Astyanax mexicanus: one gene and its partners. Each later gene encodes a partner of the first gene's protein in a complex. Links are inferred from orthologs where the notes say so. Each region holds a gene or a part of one and is shown in the gene's direction. Other genes may lie near its edges. The genes, in order: rbm15b, mettl3 and virma.

The links.
Region 2: rbm15b (region 1) and mettl3 share a complex: the UniProt entries of both Homo sapiens proteins name them as parts of the WMM complex. The link is inferred for Astyanax mexicanus from reciprocal best matches to the Homo sapiens genes RBM15B and METTL3.
Region 3: rbm15b (region 1) and virma share a complex: the UniProt entries of both Homo sapiens proteins name them as parts of the WMM complex. The link is inferred for Astyanax mexicanus from reciprocal best matches to the Homo sapiens genes RBM15B and VIRMA.

The regions. Positions count from the first base shown.
Region 1 is NC_064431.1:1,414,918-1,422,820, forward strand, and holds the start of rbm15b (putative RNA-binding protein 15B), read left to right. Parts: upstream 1-4,827; 5' UTR 4,828-5,074; coding exon 5,075-7,672; 3' UTR 7,673-7,903. UniProt on the Homo sapiens protein: RNA-binding protein that acts as a key regulator of N6-methyladenosine (m6A) methylation of RNAs, thereby regulating different processes, such as alternative splicing of mRNAs and X chromosome inactivation mediated by Xist RNA.
Region 2 is NC_064415.1:18,430,325-18,438,271, reverse strand, and holds the start of mettl3 (N6-adenosine-methyltransferase subunit METTL3), read left to right. Parts: upstream 1-4,941; 5' UTR 4,942-5,075; coding exon 5,076-5,178; intron 5,179-6,031; coding exon 6,032-6,219; intron 6,220-6,332; coding exon 6,333-6,800; intron 6,801-7,315; coding exon 7,316-7,491; intron 7,492-7,887; coding exon 7,888-7,947. UniProt on the Homo sapiens protein: The METTL3-METTL14 heterodimer forms a N6-methyltransferase complex that methylates adenosine residues at the N(6) position of some RNAs and regulates various processes such as the circadian clock, differentiation of embryonic and hematopoietic stem cells, cortical neurogenesis, response to DNA damage, differentiation of T-cells and primary miRNA processing.
Region 3 is NC_064408.1:109,657,521-109,664,598, forward strand, and holds the start of virma (protein virilizer homolog), read left to right. Parts: upstream 1-4,054; 5' UTR 4,055-4,109; coding exon 4,110-4,172; intron 4,173-7,078. Other genes in the region: esrp1 (epithelial splicing regulatory protein 1), read right to left, coding at 405-536. UniProt on the Homo sapiens protein: Associated component of the WMM complex, a complex that mediates N6-methyladenosine (m6A) methylation of RNAs, a modification that plays a role in the efficiency of mRNA splicing and RNA processing.

The DNA.
Region 1 (7,903 bases):
TTGTTAGCAATAGCAGGAGTGCAGCTGAGTGGGTGGGATATTCTGCATAGCTAAAATTTGGGAGAAAAATGAGGCAGAAACACAAATGCACAAGTATAAATGCTCACAATAGCATGAGCCACTTGTGTAGGCTATATTGTAGACTCTAAATTGACCTGATTTAGTAGTATAAACCTTCCTGTGCTGTCTCTCTGCTCTGAAGATGGCGTAGTGATGATGGTATTGAGAAACAAACCAGTTACCAAAAAGTAGAGTCGGTAAAATACTACGCAGTGGAAAACACCAATAAGATCCAACTAAAGCAAAAGCTCTATCTGGACGGGATTAGTTTCTCAGGGGGGCGTCTGTAAAAATATTTCACACTTTTATTCAGTGATAAAACTCCTGCATCCGGACTGCAATTGAAAAAACAAACAGGAGGACCAGTGAGTTGTCGCTGTTGTGTTTTTAACGCGGTTCTGCGTGGAAACCGTGGGGCGTTCAAAGTGTAATTACGGTGCCCTACAGTGGACAAATAGCTATTTCATTAAACACGAAGAGACGAAACTCAGATGTGTGTCCGGACGGGACTAAAATTACCGGAGGGGCACGGAGTTCAGAGAAAAACAGTAGATAATTCAGCCTGTAATTTTTTATCTTAGAACACGTACATGATCGTTCTGGATGGGAATAAAATCACAGAGGATAAAACCCCCCCATAAAAGACATAGAATATTAACTAATCCCATCCGGATAATGCTAAAAACTCGAAAAACCAAAAGATCTAAAGAAAAAGGTGGATTGGTGACCCATGCCTAAAAAGTAAAAAAAATAAAGAAATAAAAATGTTCAGACCTGTGTATGTTTCAGCTTTGGGCCGAAGCCTCGCTTTACATCCAGCCTCACTTTAAACTTTATTTTCCCTTTTATTTTTAGTGCACTTAACTTTGATACAGCATTCATACCAGTGTAGTGAATGTTTATACAGAGATATGGTGTATAGATTTGGGGTGATATTACAAAACACTGTAGTTTCTTTATTTTTGATAAAGGGACAGGGCTTTTTTATTTTATATGATTTGATTTATTATTATATTAAAACAGACCGAAGTTGAGGAGGATGATTAAGGTGATCCATCTACTAAACGTGGTTCAATTCAAATGGACTTCACTGTAAAACATGTTTATTACAGTTGTACTATACTTTTTCATTAAAAAAAGAAAATGAACCCAATTCTTGTTTCTTGTGTAACGGCAGATATTAGTGGTGTGCTCCTGTTTTTATCTGCTCTGGTTTTGATCCTGAATGTTTGGATTCTTTCTGAAATAAGGTGTTTGAACCGGTTTAAAGTGGTGTAAACTTAATATGTACTAATAGGCTAAAGAAGTGTAGCATTAGCTTTTGATTTTTACAGTTTGAGATGCAACAAATATTGATAATTATATAGAAACCTTGAAGTTATTATATAAAATGACAAGCTTAAGCTTTAATATTTGCAAGGTTTAAATGCCCTGACTACTTCCACACATACCTTAATCTGAAAGAAGCCTGGAGACTGATCCCCTGTGTAACGTGCTCTCTATCCACTGTAGTTCCCACTTCCAGGATTTTGGTGATCACCAACAATACCCTTTGAAAGGAAGATATTGAAAGAATATAGTTATTTTAGTGTATTAGAAGTCATTTTGTTTTATTGTACAAGTATAGAACATATTAGGGCTGCACAATATTGGTATTGCACTCTCTAGAATAAGAAAATATAAAAATTGAGTACTAAAAAATAAGTTATTTAGAAATTCACTGAAACTACAAAAGGGGCAAAGAAAATCAAATGTAAAATAAGATTAAAAAGGTTTTAGCTATGAAGTATTGAAATAAGTAAATAAAAAATGAATCAATTATTAAAACAACATTAATTGAAATCTGTAATATAATATAATCTGTAATATACGATGGTGCCAATCCATAAGCATAATTAATAATATTGTGCAGATCTGACAATATTTGACATTTCCTCTCCTGCAAGGTGACTATTATGCTTGTGCACATTGCAATACTGATGCTAAAACACTATATTGTGCAGCCCTAACTCTCATCACATTAATATATTCCTCTAAATGAATCAAATGACAAGAATCACCATCTAGGCCACTACGTAGGCTCACTATTTAGGCTATGAGTGTGGGATGCCAAATATCATAAATTTACCTTTAAAACTGGCACTTTAACAGTGTACTCAAATAATTAAGTCAGAAGTCATTTTTGGGGACATGGCCAAATGCTGATATTTGTTTTTAAATTTTTCATAAATGTGTGTCAATAATTTTCATATTTAATAAGATTAACAATATTAACTAACCATATGTCCTATAATACATCAGATCCTGAAAATCGACATCTAGGCCCTGTACTTAGGCACACTATTAAGGCTACGAGTGTGCGATTTGGGATGCGTACTTTTGATGTCTATATTTACAGTTGTGGTCAAAAGTTTACATACACTTGTAAAAAAACATAATGTTATGGCTGTCTTGAGTTTTCAATAAGTTCTACAACTCTTATTTTTCTGTGATAGAGTGATCGGAACACATACATGTTTGTCACAAAAAACAGTCATAAAATTTGGTTCTTTCATAAATTTATTATGGGTCTGCTGAAAATGTCACCAAATCTGCTGGGTCAAAAATATACATACAGCAACAAAATTTGTCAATTTTGGTGATGTAGCGAGTTGTGTCAATCAAATTAGCTTCATGTCATGGCCTCTTCACTTCTTGTAAGTGATTCTGATTGACTACAGCTGTTGACTTCTCATGAGCCCATTTAAATAGGGCTCATTTGACCCAGTGATTAGACTCAGCTACAAAAGCTACAATGGGAAAGTCAAAGGAACTCAGTGTGGATCTGAAAAAGCGAATTATTGACTTGAACAAGTCAGGGAAGTCACTTGGAGCCATTTCAAAGCAGCTACAGGTCCCAAGAGCAACTGTGCAGACAATTATACGCAAGTATAAAGTGCATGGAACAGTTGTGTCACTGCCACGATCAGGAAGAAAACGCAAGCTATCACATGCTGCCGAGAGGAGATTGGTCAGGATGGTCAAGAGTCAACCAAGAATCACCAAGAAGCAGGTCTGCAAGGATTTGGAAGCTGATGGAACACAGGTGTCAGTCTCCACAGTCAAGCGTGTTTTACATCGCCATGGACTGAGAGGCTGCCGTGCAAGAAAGAAGCCCTTGCTCCAGAAAAGGCACCTTAAGACTCGGCTGAAGTTTGCTGCTGATCACATGGACAAAGATAAAACCTTCTGGAGGAAAGTTCTCTGGTCAGACGAAACAAAAATTGAGCTGTTTGGCCACAACACCCAGCAATATGTTTGGAGGAGAAAAGGTGAGGCCTTTAATCCCAGGAACACCATGCCTACTGTCAAGCATGGTGGTGGTAGTATTACGCTCTGGGGATGTTTTGCTGCCAGTGGAACTGGTTCTTTGCAGAAAGTAAATGGGATAATGAAGAAGGAGGATTACCTCCAAATTCTGCAGGAAAACTTAAAACCATCAGCCCGAAGGTTGGGTCTTGGGCGCAGTTGGGTGTTCCAACAAGACAATGACCCAAAACACACATCAAAAGTGGTAAAGGAATGGCTAAACCAGGCTAGAATTAAGGTTTTAGAATGGCCTTCCCAAAGTCCTGACTTAAACCCCATTGAGAACATGTGGACAGTGCTAAAGAAACGGGTTCATGCAAGAAAACCATCACATTTAGCTGAACTGCACCAATTCTGTCAAGAAGAGTGGTCAAACATTCGACCTGAAGCTTGCCAGGAGCTTGTGGATGGCTACCAAAAGCGCCTAGTTGCCGTGAAAATGGCCAAGGGACATGTAACCAAATAGTAATGTTGCTGTATGTATATTTTTGACCCAGCAGATTTGGTGACATTTTCAGCAGACCCATAATAAATTTATGAAAGAACCAAATTTTATGACTGTTTTTTGTGACAAACATGTATGTGTTCCGATCACTCTATCACAGAAAAATAAGAGTTGTAGAACTTATTGAAAACTCAAGACAGCCATAACATTATGTTTTTTTACAAGTGTATGTAAACTTTTGACCACAACTGTATTTCATTTAAATTAGTATATTTTAAAGTTTACTTAAATAAATTGACGTGATACTGGTCAGGAATCAAAAGCTTTAAATGTTTTTATTTTATTCATGTATTTGTTTGCGTACTTCATCATTAATAATACATACATTTAAACTACTAACCAATTTAACCCCGTGCTTTGGTTTGTTTTTTGTTTTTTTGCACAACATACAATCCATACTTAGGTAACAAACAACCATAATTACAAAAATATAAAAAAAACGTACAATGTAAAATAAATAAATAAATAAAAACAAAACAAAAAAAAAACATTAAAAAAAGAAAAGGGATTCATATAACATTGAAAAACTTCAAAATATATATGGATTTATGGCATTTTTATTTGTCGAAAACTAGTCAATAAGTGTATATATTATATAAAGTCTGAATAAACATGTTTATAGATATGTATTTATATAGAATATTTGCACAATTCAAAAGAGGTCATATGATATGGGACATTTTTCAGAAAATACAAGCTTTAAATATTTATGTTATAAATTAATCTATTTGCAAGTTTCCTAATTAATAATAAATGTAAACTACCAAATGAACCATGTGCTTCATAATGCGTTAAACCCTGAGAATCGCCATCTAGGCCACTGCTTAGGCACACTATTAAGGCTATGAGGATGCGATTTGGGACGTATCCCAGTGACGTCCGAGTCACGTGCGTCTGTGCTCCTCCTACCAACGGCGGCGCGCGCGCACGCTCCCATTGTCCAAGATGGCGGCGCGGGTGCAGCTTCTGTGATGCTGGTGTTTTCGGCGCGTTTGTTTGATGTTTTCCCGCTGAAGCTCCGTCCCCGTATCTCTCTCCGCGTCCGGCGGAACGCGCGTGACGCCCATCGCTCGCGCGGCGTGAGCGCGCGGTGTGGACCGGAGCTGTTTGGTGTCGCCCCGGTTTTTTTTCCTCCGCCGCCAAAAGTTTGCAGGGAGGAGGATGAAGCGGCAGGCCGAGCGGGACACGAGCCCGGCGCGAGCTGCCGCCAAACGGATCCGGGAGCGCGAGAGAGAGCGCGAACGGGAGCGAGACCGCGAGCGCGAGGGCAGACGAGGAGAGGATGCCATCATCGCCTCCGCGGTCGCCGCGCCTCCCGGTGCCCTCCTACCGTCGCCGCCGCTCGCGCTGCTGCTCGCGGACACTCGGAGCGGTTGCTATGGAAAACGTGAGGCGCGCGGAGGAGAGAGCAGCGCGCACCATCGGCTGCACCACGACGCCGGTGCCCTTTCCGCGCGCTCGGGCTTGAGACCAGGTGGGAAAGGTAAAGGGTCTGCAGGCGCCGAGATGCTCGGTGGCCGGGTGGCTGGGGGCGGGGCTGGCAGTGGTGGCAGCAGTAGTGGCAGTGGCGGTGGCAGCAGTAGCAGCAGCAGCAGTGGCCTCGAGTACAAAACCCTGCTGGTCAGCAACCTAGGCTCCCACCTGTCAGATGAGCACATAGAGGATGAGCTCTTCCACAAGTTCAAGAAGTTCGGAGATGTCAGTGTAAAGCTCTCCCACACACCTGAGCTTGGACGGGTAGCCTATGTGAACTTCAGGCAAGTAGAGAGCGCACGGGAAGCACGCCACGCCAGGACCCGCCTGGTGCTGGGGGACCGGGCACTTCGGGTCGAGCCTGTGTACGTCCGCCGCCGCAGCTGCACGCCTCCTGATGTGGCCTACGCTCCCTTGCTACACCCTGCCTACCTCTATAGGCAGCGCTCGCTCTCGCCAGGGCCAGGTGGCAGTGCCATCCGCGATACCCGGGCCAGGCACTATGCTGAGGGTGTCGTTGGGCTCGCCAGGGAGAGGGAGCGCCTCCTGGACTACTACAGCGCTTTGGAGGAGAGGAGCCGGGCACTGGCGTTGCAGCTGCAGGTGGAGGAGGACCTGAAACCAGAGGACGATCAGAGAGCGACTCGGAACTTGTTCATCGGCAACCTGGATCACAACGTGTCTGAAGCAGAGCTCAGGCAGGGCTTTGAGAAGTACGGCGTCATCGAGGAGGTGGTGATAAAGCGGCCAGCGCGTGGGCAAGGGTGTGCATATGCTTTTATTAAATTCCAGAACCTGGACATGGCTCACAGGGCCAAGGTAGCCATGCAGGGACGAGTGTTCGGGGGCAACCAGGTGAAAATTGGATACGGCAAGGCCAATCCCACCACACGCCTTTGGGTGGGCGGCTTAGGCCCGAATGTGTCTCTGGCCGCCTTGGCTAGAGAGTTTGATCGCTTTGGGAGCATCCGTACCATTGACTATGTAAAGGGGGACAATTTTGCCTACATCCACTATGAAAGCCTGGATGCAGCCCAAGCAGCATGTGCCCAGATGCGTGGATTCCCACTGGGTGGCCCAAACCGCAGGCTACGAGTGGACTTTGCCAAAGCTGAGGAAGTACGAGCATACCCGCAGCAGTACCAGCTGCCTCTTCCTTTGCCGCCACCTTTTGAGCCACTTAGCGAAGGTTACAGCCGCCACCGCAGCTTGGAGAGAGAACTTAGGGCTCGTGCTCGTTCACCCTCCCACCCACTTTTCGCAGAGAGGGAACGAGAGCGTGAACGTGAATGGAGTCCTCCTAAAAGCGTGGAACGCAGAACTAACACAGAAGCTTTTGGGCGGGGACGAGCCCGCAGTCGCAGCAGGGAGCGATGGACCAAGGACAGAGACTCTGATCGCAAAGGTTTGGACGAACGACGTAAGCGTCGGAGCCGAAGTCGCAGCATCAGTCCAAGTGACAGGCTGTATGAGGACAGGGGGCGCACCAGGGTGAGAGCAGGTGCCCCTGCAACCCCAGACGACAGTCCAGACCGGGCACGTGGCCGCCTTCCTGACTCCACCTCAGAGCCCCAAAGCCACACACCTGACAGCAGCCGCCAGTCCGGAGACGAGCGAGCTCAGTTGCTGTTGCAGGAGGATTCAAACAAGCATCGTAAAGGAGGAGAACATGAGCGGAACCACCGCAAAAGTGATGCAGACTTAGATCAGCAGGTGAAAAAGTTCAAGAGCGAGCCCAAAAAGCCCAGCACGCTCTCAGAATACGCCCAGACCATCAGCAGAGTGTGGCACGGCTCCCTGGTGCTGAAAAACAGCAGCTTCCCCACCAACATGCACATCCTGGAAGGAGGGGCCAGCTTCTTCCTTTCCCTCATGAAAGACAACCAAGCGGGCAGTGCCAAGATCACACAGCTCAAGATAGCCCAGCGACTCCGACTGGACCAGCCCAAGCTGGATGAGGTGACCCGCCGCATCAAGCTGGGCAGCCCCGACGGCTACACCGTCCTCCTGGCCGTCCAGGGCCCCATGGACCAGGACTCGCCTCCTCTGGAACCTGGAATCCAGAAACGCCTTCTGCGCAACCTGGTCACCTACCTCAGAAACAAGCAGGCAGCTGGCGTGATCAGTCTGCCAATCGGAGGACCCAAGGAACGTGAAACGGGGGGCATGCTGTACGCCTTCCCCCCCTGTGAGTTCTCCCAACAGTACCTTCAGACTGCTCTTAAAACTTTGGGCAAAATAGAGGAGGATCACTTGGTCATTGTGGTCGTTAAAGATTCACTTTAATAGTCCTTTTATAGTGCAGTGCTGTTTAAAACACACACACACAGGTCCAAACTTAAAAGAATACCACTGTCTTCTCAAAAATCTGTAAATTTCAGTGTTTCCCAGTTCTGGTCCTGCTGGTATTTGATCTGATTTTTCTATATTTGACAAACTTTCCTGACTTTTGATAAACTACGTAATAGTGTAATTCATAAATATTTTTTTTTCCAAAGCTTTATCTATTTTGAATGT
Region 2 (7,947 bases), on another chromosome or scaffold:
CGCGTAAGAGACGGGTGATTATGAGTGTGCTTGGTGTTGGAGAGAGGGGGGCTCTGTGTTCACTGTTTGTGGATGGGAGGTTTTTTTCAAGTGTTTATGAGTGTGCATCATGGGCATAAGCTGGGTGGGTGTTTGGGTGCGTGTCGGGATGAAAGTCAGGGTGGGTGGGTTGGAGGGGGATATCTCAGTAGGGAAAAACTTTGATAAGGTCACATAAAAAAGTGTCATTAGAAAAAAGTGCATTAGAGAGATCCAACCCTACTAATTGCTACTAGTTAAGTCATAAGGGTGTAAAGATTAATCGGGAAAAGAAAATCCTAATTCAAAATTAAAGTAATGAAAAAAAAATAATAAAAAAATGTATTATATATACAAATAGCTCTCTACAAATATTTTGCATATTTTACAAAAAAATTACAATATGAAAAAATGTCATAGAAGAACCATTTTTGGCTCCATGACATTTTTTGTTATGTAACAAACATTCAGAAGACCTGTTGTACCTTGTTTTGTACCATGTCAGATCACTTTTAGTGTTCATTATAAGCAGCTCAGCATTATGTTAATGAGGTCCTGCTACCAGTGGCCCTACCTTTTCAAAGCACACACTCCAACGCACAGTTCCAACAGAACAATGCCATTGTCAGATGCATTGCCAGACCTATCTCTGATTAAAAACAAGCAGGATACTATTTTATGCGCTAGCAACACTCCATCCCTACCACAAAATCTGGAGGAACTGTGTGAAAATATTTAAGCTGCATAGGTTTGATTATACCATTAAGAACATCTATAACTCCATGCTGAGATGTATGTTACAGTATGTTGCAGTACACATGCGTTACACAATACTTCTGTATGTGCAGGTCAATAAATATGACTGAGAGTTGCCCGTATCAGTATAAATTTTAGATGGCTTATTGTTTCTGTTATCCCTTATCTTTGTTCTGAATAGCACTGCAATCAGACATTTCCTTCCAAATATTTATTTAAGAAGGATGCATATAGCAGAGATGTGTACATGTGAGAAACCTTTTATAGATCTAAAGAACATCCACTTGATGTAAATGTTCTTTAACAATTCAAAGGCTTTGTTTACACAGTCACACACACAACGTCTATTATAAACATGGATCTTTACTGAACTGAATGTGGTTCTTCTAGCACATTTGTTTTTCGAAATGCACTGCTGTACTGCCTATTGTTTAAAGGATGAAATTGTTTGTTACTATTTTATTAAGTCCATTTTTATTTTTTAATGTAAAATATATATTAATAATTAATTTGAATTATTTATTTAATTATTAAAGGTATTTTTAGAATACTCAATCACGTATGTAATTAAAAGGCACAGAAGAGCAATACCTTCTGTGAAAGGTTCTTCATTAGCCATCCTTCTGAAGTGACCATTTCAAACCACTGACAAATCTACCCAGGACCCCAGTCCTGAAGCTCTAATCAGTGGTGCTAATGGCTGCTGAGCCAAGGAGTGCACTGACGTAGAGCTCTGTTAGGGCCACAAGTGCGTCACTTGTGATTAAGTGCAAAGTATGTTTGCATGTCTTGCTCTCTGCATGAGGTCCTTGTTACACCAAGCTGCTAATGACGAGAAGTGACTCAAATGTTAATTGGCCTGCATGCCCACTGCTCCCTCAATAAGGATCCATCCTGTACTCTTGCCAGCTGACTGCAAGGACACGCGCACGCTGACATATACTGCCGTACACCTATCACGACCTGGTATTTACTGAGTAAAGATGCTAAAAGGAAGACATTCATGAACTAATGCACTCAGCACTCAGCAAAAGTACAAAAGATTAAGAGGGGGTACTGGTACATTAGTTTTTTTAACCAGCACTCCATACTCAGTTTATTTTAAATCTTTTATAGAGTTTAAAGATCTTTAAATGTAATAAGAGATAATATTTTATTAAATGATGTTAAATAATTGTGACATATACCAGACCTCAAACTTTACCAGGCTAATGTTTTGTAAAAAGGTACAACAATTCAATTTAATTAATTCTTTTTTATATATTAATATTTTATATATTTTTGCAACAAAAGCTATACCTAGTCACAAAACAGAGAAAAAACAGGTCTACGCCTCTTATGAGCAGCACCACAGGGATACCAATTATTGTGGTGACAACAGTGGCAAGGAAACGCTCCCTTACATTAAGAGAAAGATACCTTAGGAGGAACCAAGACTCAGTCAGAGGAACCCATCCCCCTCTGGTCGACCCGCAATGTACAAACAAATAACAAAACAAAAACAACAGTACAGAGAGATAATGTGGTGCTATAACTAATGTAAAAATGGTTACTGAGTCATGAATGTTAAAAAAGGTGATGGGCACATAATGTATAATGTAAAGCTATAGATAATGTAGGAACAGGTACTGATTTATGAGTGTGAAAAAGCACATAATGATGGCACATAATCAATAATGGAGAGATATGGCTAATGTAGAAATTAGTACAAAAATGTAGTGTTAATTCCTGCCCCAACTCCGTAGCCGAATGTCTGGCTATGGTTTCCCCCTTTACCCTTTTTTACCATGTTTTTCTTAGATTTTGATGGATTACAAGCATGATCAATCTGACCAAGCTAGGAAACCAATCTATTGGCCTGACCAGCATCACCAAGTTATTGAACTGGCATTACCCAGATGTTTGACCAGCATCACCAAGCTCATTAATTAGCATGACCAGCAAGATTGATAGATCTGATAGATCAGCATCTTCATGATTTTGTTAGTCAATCAAATAGTGAGATTGTGAAAATGTTTCTGGGCATCTCTTGTAATTAATTAATTTAACTACTTTAGGTTGCATCCATTGCTAAAACAGATGTAAAAAGTAATGCACACACAAAAAAAGAATTGGCAATATCGAATTGGACTATCCAGAGCAGAGAAATATGAACCTTTTGCAACCATGCCTAATGCCAAGTGATGCCTAGAAGAGTATAAATCTCATAACACCTCATTATCACCTGGATCTGGATTGTCCAGTTGCCATTTTTTTTACACTAAACTGTGGGGCAGTGGAACTATGTTTTCTGGAATGATGGCACTTCATCCAGTACTTTTGAGTGTTTTGGTGAGTTTTGGGTGAGGAAGGCTAGAGATTATTTAACATCCCGACCTCACTGATTGCAGTTCTCACAGCAGTGCACAAAAATCTAGTACAAAGCCTTCCAAGGACAGTAGAGATAGTTTTAGTAACAGATTAAATTAGATTTACAGATCAGCAGGTGTCCCACTACTTTTGTCCATATAGTTTAGCTAACCACGGCTGATCAGATTGTTAGATTGTTGCAGATTGTTTTGCACTGATCTAAATCAACAAATTATGTTATGAGTTTCTCTAGCCAACCACGACATAAGGTGCTAGGATACACTATACACTATGCTGCCACTATGCTGGTTTCAATCACTCCCATGCTCACAGGTGTATAATATCAAACACCTAGGCATGCAGACTGCTTCCAAAACATCTTATATTTAAAGACAACTGTCAGTGCTATTATAACAAAATAAAAGCAGCTGGGAACGAAAGCAACTTGCTCTATTAAAGCACAGAGGTCTCCAAATTTCACCACAGACCTTCAAATTGCATGTAGTTTCAGATTGACTCAAGAACAGAATAGTGTAGAGAGCTTTATGGAATGGATTTGCATGGCCGAGCAGCTCCATGCAAGCTTCACCTCAAACTGTCACTGGAGCCAGGAAGGGAACAACTAAACATTTTCATATTTAATATAAAAGTAATTTCCTAAAATACCTTTACATAGCAAAGCTACTTGGATGCTGTTTGTCAAATATATCTTGTGAAGATTCTTATTATAAAGATGCTTATAATCCACAATTGCGGAAAAAATGCTTTAACCCTCCTATTATATTTGGGGCAAATGTGACCCCATTCTGTGTTTAACGTCTCTGAAAAAATGATTGACATTAGTTTTGTGATTCATAGGTATTGTCTTTTCTTAGTTTGATAAGGACAAAAAGTAAAACAAAAAATGTTTAATATTTTTTACATTTTAATGTTTTAATGTTTTATTAAGGCTGTTTCATATTCATAAAACATAAGAAATATAAATATTTTACACACATTTGTGTGGTAATAATGTTTAGGTCACTATGACATTCAGTTTTATCATCTAATAATTAATTCATAATTAATCGCTATTAATTGATCAAATCAACATAAAGTAACTGGCAAATAAAATGTGCTAACATGTTTATTAAAATGCAATTATAATATTTTTTTAAATTAAATTGGGGTTTAAATTGCTGTGAAACTGGAAATAAAGTGTTAGTTAATTTGAGGATAGCAGGAGGATTAATATAACACTGATGATAATTGCTTAGGAAAATACAGTATAACAGAATGAACTATAATAATGTATGTTTTATCCACTAGGGCTATCAGCCACTAGATGGCCACCTTGCGTTTTTTGAATTCAAATCAAACCACAGTTTGTAAACTTTATAAACAGCTTTTAAAATAAAAAAAAAAATGATAAAGAATGATCAGTTTTATTGGTTTGTACGAGAAAAAAGAAACATAAAAAGCACTTACTATTTTAAAAAGATATAGTTACAAAAGTCACAGTTTTTAAAATATTTTGAAATAATTTAAATACATATTAAATAAACCATTAAATAAAATACATTAAGATTAATATTTAAACACTGGGCCTGGGCAGAAAAGGTTTATTCGTGTGTTTAATTTTAGCGACTAAATTAAACACATTTTAAAACATTTTTTTAGTCTTTTTTTAGTCTTTTTAAAGGTATAACATATTAATTGGTTTATGTTTTATATATAGCCTTTTAAATGTAATGTTTAGGGATGAATTCCACACCTGTTCAGAATGCTGTGAGAATTTTACCACCCGGGACTCTTATGCGATGGTTTTTGTACCGGTTGTGGGTTTCCGCTGCAGACCGGAAGGCGGTCACGCTGTGTTGTTTAGCTTAAGTTGGCGGCTGTAACGTTAAAGCGGGATTTAAAGAGTTTTAAAGCATTGAAACAGCTTTAATATAGATATTTAACCCTTTAACATGTCGGATACGTGGAGCAGCATCCAGGCTCACAAGAAGCAGCTGGATTCTCTGCGGGAGAGGCTTCAGAGGAGGAGGAAAGACCCCACACAGCTCGCTATCGGTACTGTGTTTACAGTTTACAGCCTGTGCTGAGTTAAACTACACTACTAACTGTCTGTTTGCGCTTAACTCTCAGTTTCTGTCCAGTTTACCGCGTGAATGTGTTCAGCTTGCTTTAGTTCATTTAAAGATACAGTTTAAATCCATGTAGAATGACTGGAAGTTTTACAGCTACAGCAGTAGCTAGAAGCTAGACCCCTGCAAGGGTCTTAAGTCTTTAGAAGAAAAAAATAAGCATTTTTTCCCCTGCAGATTAATCTATTTTTAACGTTTATTTCTTTCATTGATTATTATGACTTACAGCCAATAAAAACCCAAAAATCAGTGTCTGATATAAATTAGAATATCATATATGACCAATTGTTACTTGTGGTAGTGTGGGCAGTGTGCCAAGTCCTGCTGGTAAATGAAATCTGCATTTCCATAAAAGTTGTCAGCACAAGTGCTGTAAAATCTCGTAGTAGACACTGCAATGACTTTGGACTTGATATAACACAGTAGACCAACCCCAGCAGATGTGATGTCTCTCCAAACCATCATTGACTATCAGCAAATGTTGCATTTAATTTAGGAATCAAGAGACCAGAGTCTTGAGGAAAAGTGGAGATACACACAGTCCAAGCTGCTTGAGGTCTAGTGTGAAGTTTCCACAATCAGTGATGGTTTGGAGAGACATGTCATCTGCTGGTGTTGGTCCACTGTGTGATATCAAGTTCAAAGTCAGCACTGATGAACAGTACTATAGAATTCTACAAACAGTAAAAATAAAAAAAAAACTATTAAATATGCACTAAATATGCAGAGAGCATAATGTAGTCAGCAGTCTTTGTTTATTTCTGTGTCTTTCCTAACAGATGCTGGAGGATCTGATGGAGCAGCACCAAGGAGTGAAAGTCCTGCACCAGCTGTTCAAACTCCTTCGCAAGTAGAGGTGGAGCGTCCACCTGATCCTGAATTAGAGAAAAAACTTTTAGCATACCTGTCCGAACTGGGCCTGTCGCTGCCCACCGATTCTCTCACCATTACTGACCAGCTCAACTCTGTATGTAAAAAGATTGAGTTTTTTATGTTTAAAGTTTGAAAGACTGTATTTTCTGTAATTTGATATTCATTTATGTACTCTAACTCTCCTCTATTTCCTATTGTCTCTCTCAGTCTGAAGCACCAGTAACTCACACATGCATCCAGAGTCTTCTACTGAAATTTTCTGCTCAAGAGTTGATTGAAGTCAAGCAGCCAACCATCACTACTTCATCCTCTGGTCCCTCGTCCACCTTAGTCATCTCTGTAGATCACACCAAACTATGGGCCATGATTGGCAGTTCCACCTCCCAACCTCAGAGAACTGGTGTCAAAAGAAAAGGCGATGATGCCATTCATCAAAAAAGGGTCCCTGGCTCCTCACCTTCAATTCAGGCTCCACCTTCACCGCCCAAGACATCATCTATATCTTTGGCTGCTCCCTCCAGTTCACAGACTGGGACTTCTGATTGGAAGTTAGGAGGTGCTGGAGGAGGGGCTGAGAAAAAAGGTCGAACCAATAAGGGGAAGGCATCTCATATGGATATGGAGATCGAGAGCCTGTTGAGCCAGCAGTCAACCAAAGAACAGCAAAGCAAAAAGGTAGCTTCCTACATCTTAACAACCATCTTTCAAAATGTAATATTTATTACCCACATCTCAGTGCTCTTTTGTCAATCAACAAATTGTCTATGGCATAAATCTTGGAGATTTACCAGCTATGAATAAAATAATAATCACAACCAATCATTTAAATGCATGGTGATTATGTCTAACAAAATGTACCACAAATTAATTTGTACGACTGAGAAGAGCACATTTTACTGTCCCTAATACTAAGTGGAATTTTACACTCTGTATTGTATATGTAATGTATTGTATTAATATACCATATATTGTTATTAAATATCCTTGTATTAATACCTGGTTTAACCAAAGGTTAAACACAATATACAAACATCATATTGAATAGGCCCAGAAATGCATGCAATGAAGTATGACATTTGAAATGTCACATGAATATGATATTTTCTGAAATCTGCTGATTCAAGGTTGATATGTCCAATAACAGACAAAGTAAAACTGATTAACTATATGTGTGTATCTGTGTATGATAGGTGAGCAGGGAGATCCTTGAGCTGTTGAACACCAGCTCAGCGAGGGAGCAGTCCATCGTGGAGAAGTTCCGTTCACGAGGTCGAGCACAGGTGCAGGAGTTCTGTGATCATGGGACTAAAGAGGAGTGTATGCGTTATGGAGATACTCCGCAGCCATGTAACAAGCTGCATTTCAGGTAGGTCCACTACACCAGCATCTCTAAACATAAAGTCATATTCTCTGCTGCAATTATATATTTATACAATTTTGTTGTGTTCAGTTTATGGCTATTTGTGTAGGGCAAGATTTGGTATGAGGAAAAACTCTGCAAGTACGTGCAGAAACATTAAAAGAACATTTCTATAAACATATGAAAATTATGATTAAATATATATAATATATTAAACATGTTCAGATCAGATCCAGGTCAGACAGAAGAGACACCCATAAATATGTTGAAATATGTAAAAGAAACTATATAAAACACATTGTGAATGTGATCCTATAAGGGTAGCAGTTTGGGTTAAGTATATAAAGATTTCATCAGCTAAGTCAAGGATCAGTTTCTGAAATAATCATATAACTTCCGTAGGCGAATCATCAACAAGCACACAGACGAGAGCTTGGGTGACTGCTCCTTTTTGAACACCTG
Region 3 (7,078 bases), on another chromosome or scaffold:
TGGTTTATAAATGTCTATTGTGATGGACAACAGGTCTCAATCAGCAATAGATAGATAGATAGATACTTTATTGATCCCCGAGGGGAAACATAAAAAATAAAAGAAACAACATGATGTCCACTGTAATGGATGTAGGGTCTGAAAGGGTTATGCCTGTGTGATGGTTAAAAGAGACAAACCAACAGTTTTAGGTTTCTGTCAGTGTTGAGGTTTCTGTCACTGTTGACATGCTAATATAGTAGCTTTAGTTGGCTGACTACAATTATGTTTATGGTGTAAAAAAAAATGTAAATTCTTAAAAACGAGTGTACCTATAGTCTTCATCATCATCTTCTCAACATGGTCTTTAAATACATAAATGAGAAGATAAATAATAATCTCAAAGCGAATAAACCATCTCTCACCTTTTTAGTGACTAAATTGAGGACCTGCCAGACTAGCTGCACCGCCTCGGTTTCGTCTGACCCCAGCAGCTCGCCGCTCGCCCCGCACGTCGTGGTGAAGAACAGCACCAAGTTCTCTGGATTTACCGTCATTTTTAAAAGAGAAACAGTGGAAATAAAAATAACTCTAAGCGTCAGAAAGGTGAAGAAATCCCCAGCCACCGACTCCAGGTGACGGAAGTGAAGTGAGGGCCCCACACACCCCACACCTATGGACAGGTAAACTCAGCGGTTTCGCTCCTTATTTCCCCCGTTTATCTCTGCTGAAGCGATGCTGAAGCGATGCTGAAGCGAATGTCCGCCAGTCCGGGAGTAATGGCTGCTCGCCTGTGCTCGTTTTTGTGTGTGATCTGCCTTGCCCTACCTGGCCACCGCCCACGTGACACAGGTGAAAAACACACCTGGCCGCCGCGAGCGCCCTCTTATTGGTGCTCGGAAACAGGGACGTGGCACAGCACTGGAGGAAAATATACATAAACCCCAACAACACACAGTGAATTAATACCACCACTGAGAAATACAATATATGGGGTAATACTGTATACAGGAGAATAGAGGGGATCTCTATCTGTAGGCCTGCAGTAGGCCTATGGCTAAAACCCAGTGAACCAGTGCCTGTAGCTGAACTAATGACTTACTACAGCATCGCAATATAATTCAGTTAAAATGTGAAACTCATATATAGATGTATTACACACAGAGTGATCTATTTTTTGTGTTTATTTATTTTATTGTCGATGATTATGACTTACAGCCAATAAAACCCCAAAAATCAGTATCTCAGAAGATTATTATATAAAACATATATAGAATATTATATAAAAACAAATTTGTACTTTTGGCAGAGTGGACTGCTGGAAAATGAAATTCACATCTCCACAAAAGTTGTCAGCAGAGGGAAGCATGACGTGCTGTAAGATTTTCACACAGTGGATCAACACCAGCAGATGACATGATTCTCCAAACCATCACTGACCATCAGTAAATTTTGTAGATAGATAGATAGATTTATTTTTATTTTTATTTATCCCGAAGGAAATTTAGGCACAAAGTTTAATTTTTAAAAGTCCACTACAATATATGGGGAATTCACTCTTCACTAATCTAATTTTATTGTGCCAGAGTGATTTAATTGGAGTAAATTACTTACTAAATTTGAGGATAAAATGTGTGTAAAATAATTAGAAAAGGTGTAAATTTCTGTGGCTGGGCACAACACCCACGGTGAGACTGTATTAATAATGCCCAGTTTGACTTGTGTTTCTGTCTTCAGCAGAGCTTCAGCCCTCCTTGGAATGTAGTTATACCTGTTTTGAGCAATTTCAAAAGGAAAATTTGGCCATTCTTCCAGAAGAACTACCTGTCATGCTGAATAGTGGCAGCATCTAATCTGGGTTAAAAGTTCCAACAGACACTCTCCGCAAAAAACAAAAAACAAAAAAAAAACAACAGAAAAAATCATACAGGAAAATTGCATAAGATGACTCCTCTCTTCATCAAGAGTTTTGTTTGCAACAATAGAAAATGATCCACAGATCTGTAGTTCACACACAGGAGTACCCAATGTGAGTACTATTAACACATATTGCTAATTGGAAAATAGAGTGAAAGCAAAAAAAAAAGACTGTCATTTTAATAGAATGGAAGAAATATGATGTAAATGTAAAACAACTGCTGTTAATAATGCTTTATCTGTAGTATCTATAATTTAAAATGGTCCACAGATCTGTAGTACATATACAGCAGTATCCAGTGTGTGTACTATAGATTAAAACATGATGTATTCATTTAATATAAAAATGTAAATTACTTCCAAAAATGTGAATGGAAAAAGCAGATGTAAAACAATATTTTAAAAAATGCTGTTAATCAACAGTAAGATTTTCTGCCTTTCACAGTTCATATTAATTACAGTACACAGTATAAGTCATGTATGTGTTACAATGGTTAAGAAAAAGATGGCAAACAGACATTGAATCAGTGTTCACTTTTCAATTGCTAATGCATGGAAACAACACTGACCTCAAAACTCGGAATTGATTTATTTGTGCACACTGATTTTACGTCGTATGGTTTTATATTTGTGGTTTTTATTAATATTTACTTACATTAAATATGTATATTTTGTTTGTATTCTATTCTTAAATAATATAATAATCAAATAATATATTCTAAATTAATAATATTATTATTTGTGCGGAGCACCTTCCACCTAAAAGCATTACTGTGAATGGAGATTCAGAGCCCTAACAATATAAAACCTTTAAATGAACTTTGATTCAATGTCAGAATTTCAACCTTAACCATTAGGCCTATTAGTTTATGTTAAATAAAGGTTGTTTTTAAGATGTTTTTTACATCATCAACCTTAAAATATGTAATACAACCAAAATAGTGTTAGTTTGCCATATTTTATGAGATTGGCTTTTAAATGGTTTAAAATAGCTTTTGCTGCTATATTACCCTTTGTTATACTACAATATAGTTTATGACAGTGTTATACAGTATCCAAGTGGGCAAATCATAATCTCATATACCTCCCTATCCCCTTTAAATTGCACCATGTTACCGATAAATGACTTCCCCAATGAAGAAGATCACTAAATGTAAAATATTGATTATTAAACCTTGTACTTAAAACTCTTTAGTCTACAGAGCCCCTACTGCAAGAGACTAATAAATCATTTTAAGATTAAATAAAAAGAAACCCATTTACTCATCATTTTCTTACAAAAGATTATCCTTGAATTGGAGCTTTGGTGTAATATTCAGTCTTGTTAATGGGCATTAATTTACAGAAAAGAAAGTTTTATTATTGTGTGGCTACGACTTAATTATCTCATTCACACGCTTTAATTATCTTGTTCCCACACATTAGGATCTCGTTCTCACGCCTTAATTGTCTTAATATGTTGTGGCCACAAATTATTATTATTTTTTAACATGATGTCACCTTAGGGGCTCCATATTCACAAATGTATCTGAGCTGTATCTGTGTGTAATGTGAACAAATTTGTCGCTGAAACGTCTCACATGCGCACATTGATACGTGTATAAACGTCGCCTTTTTCACCAACAACAAAACTCATATTTGAGAGATGACTTGTAGCTTTATAAAGGTGAAATGGATGAGTAAGCAGCTCATATGTGGAGCATCTTTTGCTGCAGTGGAGAAACAGTAAACAGCTGGTCTGAAATACATGCTCAGGTTGAGGAGGTGATAAAAGAGTAGGCTGCTTGCTTTTGCTGTTTTTTCAGCTATTGCTGCTCAGCTGCACCAAGAGATGTTTGGGTAAGAGAGAAAAGCACGTAGCGCATGCGTAAAAGCAAAAAGACACATCTCGCATGTTCATGAATCGGGTATGTAACCGATTTAGGACCACATATGAAAGTGACTTAAATCTGATTTGAATTTGGCACGTTCACACAGCCATGAAAACAATTGGATCTGAGCCACATTGACCAAATATCGGATTTGAGTCACTTCAGCCAGGTTATGTGAACGAACCCTAGTCACTAGTATGTACGCAGCGTGGGAGTCCTTAGCACCGCCCTACCTAGTGCACTAAGTAGGCCGCATGTAGCAAACTGAGATGTACCCGGATGTTGCTAGTGATCCCCGGAGCTGACTTTTCCCCGGCGGATGTTCAAATGTGACGGAGAAACATGGCGGGGGATCCCTCAATGGAGCTTCTGTTTTTAGACACGTTTAAACACCAGAGCGCCGAGGTAATGATCACGGCTTATTCCTTATTAACGCGGCTCACTTCGGGCACCGCGCTCACCTCTAAATACCTGGTTTTAGGGGTAAACGGGCCTGTGCTTTCTCTCAGCTAGCGGGCGGGCTAACCGGCTGTGTTAGCCTAGCCTACCTAAGCTAAGCTAATCTAGCCTGCAGCCCTATTCCTTACATAGATAAATAGCTTTACTAGGTTTAGCTATATGTTTACTTAGTCTGAGACGTTATTAAGAGGGTATTTAAATGTCTGAAATTATAATTACACTCTGTGTAAAGCTATTTCTGTAGAAAAGTAATATAACTTGCAGCCAGAGAGAGAGAGAGAGAGAGAGAGAGAGAGAGAGAAATTAGCCAAATAAGTTAGCCAGTGTAGGTTAGCTAACATAGCTTACACGATATCCCCTAAGTTAAGTTAACGTAAGTTGCATGTTTAAGTTCGATTATTCAAAAAGCCATTATAATGCATTATGAAGCTTGCTAGCAGTATAACTGTGTTTTTAACATTGAGCGCATGGCTTTTTGTGGTCTTCAGCCATTACCACAACCACATCACTGATGCAGGTGAAAAAAAAACACAGCCAAGCTGCACCCAAAGCTAGCTAAGTAGATGAACCCATTTAAGTTACTGCATTGTTTCTCAGCATTTTCTTAGATCTACACCTTTTTTGTGTGTTTTCCCTGCTCCCAACACTCCTGAGCTAACTTCATCTCATTCACACCTCAGCATTGGGTGTGTTAAGGTGGGGGAAACAGCTAAATGTGCAGGGCATGAGAAATCCTGATCCACTGTAACTCAACTCCTAAAAATTAACCATTAGTAGCGTATTCATTTTAGTTCAGTATGTAGGGGTCAAGCATGTATAACGTACTAGAGACCCAGTCTTAAGTTAAAGTACAAAGTGCTCTATCTAAAAAAAGTGGTATTAAGTATTCAACATTTTCTGTACTCAAGTACTGCAAGTAATTTATTTAAAATATGCTACACAAGAACTGAAAGTAAATGTACATTACTGTGTTATGCAATTATTAACATCATTAACGTTATTAAAGCAGTGGAAAGTTCTCAGAGTGAAAGGCAGAACAGGAGCACGCAAGGTCTTCTTATAAGATCAGCTTGATCGCTTGATTCACTCTGTGATAAGGCAGCTTAATCAAAGTGCCATCTACCTTTGAAGGAATGATTCATAACCGCTTTAAAATTTTAATAAGTAGCGATGCAGCACATTTATTAGAGTATGAATCTAAATGTTCTTCCATTTATGCACAGTATGGGTGGGCGATATGGCTCTAAAATAATATCACGATATTCATGTTTTTTTTTTTTTACAATAACGATACTTTTGACGATATGACAAAACACTGAATTAGAAAAAATATTTAGAAGTTTATTATTGCTTGCAATATGATATGGCTAACTGAGATATTAAAAAAATAATTTAATCAGATTTGTGAAAGAAGTCAACGATCCAGAATGTCATGATACTAATAATGCACTAACATTATTTCCATATTCAGGATTAAAGTAAAAAAAATTATACTGGACAGATCTAATCTGTCTCTAGTAGATATATAATAGTAAATGAGATCAGTGTGACTTTTTCTTTTGCTAAAAACAGAAAGAAGTAGTACTCTGATGTGATAATTAGGGATGGGTGATGTGGCACGATATTTAATATCATAGGGTATAATATCGTTCACAATATATAAAACTATTGGCGATATCATGTACGATACGATATGGCACACCGCTAACGCACAGTATGGGCAAATCCAGAGGGCCAGATTGCTGTACAGTATTCTTGCTTTACCTGCTCATGCAAACCTTATTTAACTCACCTGTTAATTGTCTGGTTTAGTAGACCTGTTATAGCAGGGAAATCAGGAAACTGTGCTTTACACACACAGCATTAAAGTAACATTTAGCTATTTAATTTGCAACCATTGGTAATACAAATGTGCAAATGCAGACACACCCAGAGAGCTTGTCTATTCCATGTATAGAAACTATAGAGACTCCCTGGAGCAGATTAACATAAACATATTGGCACCATGCCTACTACCAGGCATGGGTTTCACAGGGGAAAATCCCCCTTGTGTTTTTAGAAATTATTGTGCTCCATCCAGTACATTTCCATGAGTTGAGGGTAAATTTAAGCGGTGATGGTTATCCAGAGTTTACAACAACACGTTTATCATTGAATAAAGGCCCTTAAAATCAATATCGGTCATCACAAATGAAATCACAGCAATCCTCCAAAAAAAGTCTTCCCTGCAAAAAAACAATTGCAGGATAAACTTATTAATACCATAGATTTCAGACAAAACCGTAAATGAGCATGTGTCCAAATACTTTTGTCCATACAGTATATTCATGATTAGAATGTGGGAGAAATGTGAATGGCTTCATATCTGTACAATCTGATGTATAGAAACAATGTGCTGTTCTCTTGAGTTTTAATGATGCTGGTATCTAGGGCTGGCCCGAATAGCGTTTTTTGAGCTCCGGATATTCGGCACTGATTCGAAGCGAATATTCGAATATTCGTTTTTAAAAAAAGAGGTAAAAAAAATAAATAAAAAAAAGCAAATCACGGCCCCTTTAATCCACTGAAAAATGTTCAATTTGCTCTGACCGACGAGACATATTCACCCCGGATTTTTGGTGTTTTTATCCCCCATATTTTTTCTGTGTTTTTAGCTCAGATTTCTTTGTGTTTTCATCCCGGAATTTCTGCTGCCCCACACGCGGCTTATCCGCTGCGTAAGCAGGCTAGGAGGCTGCTGCTGCACGGTTTCTCCGCTGCGCAAGCCAGCCCAGTAAATTGCTGTTTGTGTTTTCACACTTAGGCTATTTGCTTAAAAAAACAAACAAAAAAAAAACGTTTGTTCAGGAAGT